2 linked regions of the Kluyveromyces lactis genome follow. The protein of the gene in region 2 interacts with the protein of the main gene of each other region in a pairwise test. Links are inferred from orthologs where the notes say so. Each region holds a gene or a part of one and is shown on either strand. Other genes may lie near its edges. The genes, in order: CDD1 and MUK1.

Region 1 (2,438 bases), on a different chromosome or scaffold from region 2:
AAGAGTGCAACATTTCTTTCGAAAGGAAAGTGGTAAACCATTTCAAAGAGGTTGGAGTGACTTTTATTTTATAATTGATATGACATCTTTCGCCAAGAGTTTCTTTTAGTTCCGTCCAAACAGTCTCTATCAAAAACTTGACTGTCTCTACGTATCTCAATGAGCCACTAGAAGAAATTTCCAAATGGAAATCAAAATCGCCTGCGAGTTGTCTTGAAAGTGTCCAAAGTTCATCATTTTCACCTATTATACTCTTCAAAATTTTATCTCTCAGCCTATGCAACTTAAACTTTTTGTTTATTCGAGAGAGCCTGTTATCCTTAAGCTCATCATTATAATAATCAATCGTTGGGATATCGATGTAAAGATATACGTTAAAGTTGCTCATGATCGGCGTCAACCGATCACAATATGAGATGAGATACAAAGAATCGACATTCTGTACTCGAACCTTTGAAGGTTCATGAACCTGCTGGTTCCATAACCGTGATGTTATATTAGTGGAGGAATCCATTTATTATAGTAATCCGTTGGAGATGTATTTGCATAAAATCAAGGATGCCTCAATAATCGGATTATGAATGGGTGTAGTTGAATCATAAGAAGAGAAAGACGCAGACTTACAGGATCTGATTTGCAGCTCAGAACCAGTAGAATAAAAGCAATAGTGATATGTAACAAATTCTCAAACTAGGAAACCTAATCTGCTTATTAATTTTGACCTTTAACCAGCGATAATTGAAGTTGCACCAGTAAATGAGTCAAATCAAACCAAACAAAAAAGTATACTAATTCGAAGACAACGTGAATAAGAAAACAAGGAAACCACAAGGTCCTTCAGCAAAGTTAGCAGCGATAAAGGTACTCTCCTTTGCGTTAAAATAGGAAAAAAAAAATAATGCAGTGGTGTCAAGTAAGGCGAAATCAGCTTCTCGTTCTCCTCTTTCCACAACTGCTGTTTTATGTTCAAGCTTTCACCTTTTCTCGTTCCTGACTTATACCTAGTTTCAGTTTTTTTTTTCTTTCTTCTTTCTTTCTTCTTCCGCTTTAGTTTGAGCGCTGACACTTCAGGTCACGTGACGAGAATTTTTGGACCCTCGTACATGTTTAGCATGACACAAAACGTGATAGGACTTAAGGAAGAGCATCGTACTATACCCCTGCGAGCATCTAATATGGCGGGAAAACTGTATCAGTAGACAAACGGGAACTGTTAGCTTTACTATATTTACATACATATAGTTCATATGTGCTTTGCGATCAACGGTAATTTTTTGTAAGTAAAAGCAGCCAAGACGAAATCAAGCAGATAGTGACATATTTCATTATATAAAATCTCGATATGATAACGATGTATTTCTCACACAAGAAGATATCAGCCATCGTTGTATAAAGAAACCAAGAGGCGAGCGTATAATACACGCTGGACCCAGTTCGCTACTGAATACGCATCATTGCAGTATAAAATGGAGATCAAGAGCAAACTGGACGGTATTGAACCTACACAGGTAGATAGAGCCATTTTAGAGAGTCAAAAAGCAAAAAGTGGTTCCTATAGTCCATATTCAAAATTTAGGGTCGGATGTTGCATACTGACAAAAGATGGTACTTATATCACAGGAAGCAATGTGGAGAATGCTACGTATGGAGCCACCATATGTGCAGAAAGAGCTGCTATCGTGAAAGCTGTCACAAGCTCCCACAGAGCAGATTGGGTTTGTGTCGCTATCAACAGCGATATGAGAGATAATTACATTCCGCCATGTGGAATCTGTCGGCAAACGATCAGAGAGTTTGGAAAAGAAGATCTGCCAATAATAATGACAAACTGCGACACCTCTGTCAAAAAAATTATGACCCTCAATGAACTATTGCCAGAAAGCTTCGGCCCAGATCACTTTCATAGGTGAGCTAAGATTCGACTCTTTTTTGTGCAAGATTTGAACTTTTCCATAGTAAGAAACGAAATCAAAAATCAAGAAAGTTCTATATAGTAATTATTCATTAGCGTTTTGAGAGAAAGTTAAGAAAACATGCCTTTGGAAAACACCTTCTCATAAGCTAGCTACTTAGGATCAGAAGTAACCGCCAGTTAATCAAAATTTTCTAAGCACTATTCTCTCAATCGCCCTAAACCGAGGTTGTTCCTAAGATATTTAGAAATGTGTCATAGATAATGCGGAGTCTTCGCACTGTAGAATTAAAAGAAAAGTATGACATTTAAACTCATCTGACTTTTCAAATAAAATTTTTTGTTTCGACCTTTAATAAAGAACATGAGAACGAGATGCGATGAGAGAAGCTCAGATACAGCTCTTTCTACTCCTCTCTCTCACTTATTTATACCAAACGTATTCCAAGTGATATAGAAGGTGTTTCTGAACTGCACTTACTGACATAGCAGCTGTAAATCTTGGAAGACACTAAGAGGAAAAAAT
Region 2 (3,867 bases):
ATGACCTAAATATATACGTGAAGGATTTGATTTCCCTACCGCCGCATATATCACAATCACATCTGGTCAAGGGTTTGTTTGCCGTTAAAAATAATGGTTTTGACCGTGAGATTAGTAATGATGAAACTGTGGAGCTTGACGTAAAAGGTAGGGCTGATGATTCAACTCTGACTAACCAAGAACTACAACTTCCAGAGGCAATGAAGAGACTGTCTCTGATTAATAGCGCTTCCAATGCCAGTGCTAAAGTCAAATCAAGGCCGCCTAGTGGTTTCGCTCCGAGAATAACTGATGAAAAGCCTGTCAAGATCAAATTTTATTACAAAGATGACATATTCGCCTTGATGCTGCATCCTACCATTACTTTTGAAGAATTGTGCAGTAAAATAGCACCTAGAATTGACGCAGATTCTTTTAAGTTGTACATCAAAAACGGAGATGATATTGGCACTCAAGTCACTACTGATGCAGAAGTACCGGTTCTAATTCAAGAGAAACGCAAGATCTTTGTCGATGACAGCTAAGTTATTTGTTGCAAAATTTTATCGTCATAATAAATAATACAAAAAGAACCCCAAGGTGGTCAAAATTCAATTTCTATCCACTGATGGCTTTCATGCTTATCATAATGATGTACTGTACATCGCATTGTAATACTTCAACATAATTTTGACATTAACACTCTTATATTCTTTCACATTAATTCAGTTCAACAAGTAAAAATCAGTTGTTTACATACTCTCTCTATAGGTGTTAATACTTCTATCAAAATGATAATAATACTTCACAAACATGTCTAAGGACTATTCATCCAGCTCTATGTCCATGTCTGCATCCGCGTACGGATCTGTATCGAGATCCATGTCAATGTCCATGTCCGCATTGTGATCAAACTCATCATTTCTATGCATGAGATTCGGTGCCAGATCAACTCTGGAATCTGCTGCAGTCTCAACATTCATATCTACTTCATCTAATTTTGGACTATGCTGTTGGTACCATTTTACCCACAAGCTTGCTACCACAGATCGCCAGTCATACCATTTTATTACCTGCGAGTTAAACTGTCGTACATGATCGAATATTCTTTCATATATCTTATCATTTTTGTTTGAACCACTCAATTCGCGTTCAACTACATCCCACATCCTTTTATTTACAACTGCTTTGAATGAGTTCAACCCTGAATCAATTTTATGTTTCTTTATCCCATCGGTTCCCCTAGGAGCCAACGATAGGTTTTCGAAATCATATATTAGCCGTTGTTTCTTATAGTTATCGATTCCTATCGGGTCAGGACTCCTTGACCTCTTCATCTTGAAGCCTGATGACATTGTATAGCTAATACCTTGCTCATTCGCAGTGAACTATTCTAAGCAGATGATCTGTTCGCTGCTACTTTTGTAGGTGTTGTTTCGTTTGTCCTAATTTATCTTATGGCCAACCGAGAACTTTCTGGAAGCTTAAAATGAAGATCATTAGAAATGTTTGTAAATTCACCCGTTAAGAAAGTTTCGTAGATGAAGCTGATACTACAGGTACTGGTTATCTTTTTCTTGTTAGATATCTCTTGATCGAGCCTTCAATATTGCCTTTAATATGCTTTTTTTCTTTTGTTTCTTCTAAGAGATATGTATTTGATCTTCTTCATAATTAAGGGTTTCGAATGTCTTTTTCATACTGAAACATTTAGTTCACAGCAACTTGGTTTACTTCAACAACGTTATAAGAAAAAGTTTATGATTTCTATCACTGCAAGCTTGTGAATCATCTTTGGACCTGCTCATGTATGGCAATTGAGCTATGTTCCATACTCCCCCATTTTCTAATGCTTCTTTCGATACTAAACAATCCATCACTGAATCTTATCGCGATAGTTTGAATTCGACGATTTCCAATAATAGCGATGCAAAGAAACCGAATGTCATGCTTCAAACTGCCAGCACATCGGCACCTCCATCACCAGAACTACCAATAGAATCTTCAGAATCCAATGATGATTTGATTCCCATTGCTAGTATACCTGATGAATTGATGAAATTGATTGATTTGTTCATTGATGATTTGAAACAGCCTAAATATTCCAGGCCTTTAATGATTACACAATTATCTCAGATATTCCAAAGGTTTTATGAGAGATTTGATAGATCTTGCCAACAACATTTTAATGCATTAGCCTCGCCTGGAAGTGTGAATGTTATGCTCAACGCGAGAGAAACGAGAAATAGTGGATTGAGTAGTATCTTCAACAGATCCAGAAGTAGTAGTTTTCGAAATAGCAGCATAAGAACAAGAACTAGAACTAATTCTGAACAGAATTATCAGCAATTGTTGACTCCAGAAGAAATATCCCATCAAATTAAGCTGCAAGAGGCTAATAATATCAAAACGGACCAGATTATGGATTTGTGTGAATGCGAAATATTCAAGAAAATACTGCAAGTTGGCACTTGTGTCCCAAATCATCCAACAAGACAGGCGAAATCGACTAGTTCGAATGAATGGAAAATGACAAGCCTATTTCGTAATAATCCGGAGTTTATTGAGTTTGATAAGATGTTGAATACTAAATTGAACACGATGAAAGAGTTAAGCAGTTCGCGAATACTTGATTTACCAGCATTTTTAGCGTTAGAGTTGAAACATAAAGAAAGACTTGATATGGTAGGGTTATTATTTGATAAGATGTTACATGAGAATGTATCCCCTTGCGACAAGGTACATTGCCTAATAGTATTGCATGATAAGCTATTGGCTCTTGATCAAAATAACGCTGATGAGATACTTCCTTCGATGATATATCTCTTGATAACAAATCCTCGAAAAGAATTGTTTTTGAACCTCCAGTTCATCAAGCTTTTCAGATTCCATCGAAGGTTGAAAGAGAAAGAATTATATGTCACTACGAATTTTGAAGCCGCGATATCTTTCATTGACTCGTTGACAACTAAGGATATAATAACATATTGCCAACACACTGATGAATTAAAACTTCCGCATTTGGAGTCTATCAGTGAACAAGTGAAACTTCCTCTAGCGACAGAGGAGTCATTTATACCGGATTTCAAAAGGTCTAACTCTCTTTCTGATTTAATATCTGTTGGTAATGTTATTGATTCTGGTTTTAGAAACTTGATGGGTCGCATCAAAACTTATACCCCGCCACCGCCACCACCACCACCGCATGTAGCACAGATACAGGTACCGCTACCAAGCATCGAGGTTACCGAGGGTCCTGCTACCGATTGGAGAAGGTACAAGGATTATAAATTCGAGGACTTGAAGGTTAGTGATATGCAAAGTATATTTGATATATATCGTGATTTAGCTAATAAAAATAAATAATGATGAGGAAGCTAATGAATTAATATATAAGATGGTCGTAATCAATATAATAGAATTAGTCTAACTGGGAGAGTTTCGACAATATATCTTTAACTGAAGAAAGCTCCTTTGGAACCAATTCAGTAGTAACTTTTTGTGCAAGAGTTTGGATAACCTGTCTGGTATATTCACCAGACTTTGTCTGGTGCTCCAAATAACTGAGCAATTTCTCTTTAGTACGAATCTCTGAAGGCCTTGATAAAACTGTTTTAAGGACATAATCATCGTTATCACCTTCATTCCTTGAACTAGCTATGGCATGAATTATTGGGAAGGAAAATTTCCCCTCGGTTAGATCATCAGCGAATCCCTTCTGTTCAAACATTGTCTTGGAGAATAGATTTAAATAGTCATCTCGTATTTGATACAAGATCCCAGCTGCATTAGCTAACGGTATAAGATCATATTTCTGTGCAAGCTCTTTTTTCGACAAGGCATGTAAAAGTCTCACCATTAACCTAAATAATCCTCCAGTTTTGTTCT

The links.
Region 1: the proteins of MUK1 (region 2) and CDD1 interact in a two-hybrid assay, tested with the Saccharomyces cerevisiae proteins (2 studies listed by BioGRID). The link is inferred for Kluyveromyces lactis from reciprocal best matches to the Saccharomyces cerevisiae genes MUK1 and CDD1.

What each region holds. Positions count from the first base shown.
Region 1 is NC_006040.1:1,552,519-1,554,956, forward strand, and holds CDD1 (cytidine deaminase), read left to right. Parts: upstream 1-1,466; coding exon 1,467-1,910; downstream 1,911-2,438. Other genes in the region: SND1 (Snd1p), read right to left, coding at 1-514; methionine aminopeptidase MAP1, read left to right, coding at 2,437-2,438. UniProt on the Saccharomyces cerevisiae protein: This enzyme scavenges exogenous and endogenous cytidine and 2'-deoxycytidine for UMP synthesis.
Region 2 is NC_006041.1:2,073,699-2,077,565, reverse strand, and holds MUK1 (guanine nucleotide exchange factor MUK1), read left to right. Parts: upstream 1-1,803; coding exon 1,804-3,345; downstream 3,346-3,867. Other genes in the region: phosphatidylinositol-3-phosphate-binding protein BEM1, read left to right, coding at 1-524; KLLA0_E23343g (uncharacterized protein), read right to left, coding at 804-1,334; BTS1 (farnesyltranstransferase), read right to left, coding at 3,401-3,867. UniProt on the Saccharomyces cerevisiae protein: Putative GTPase-activating protein.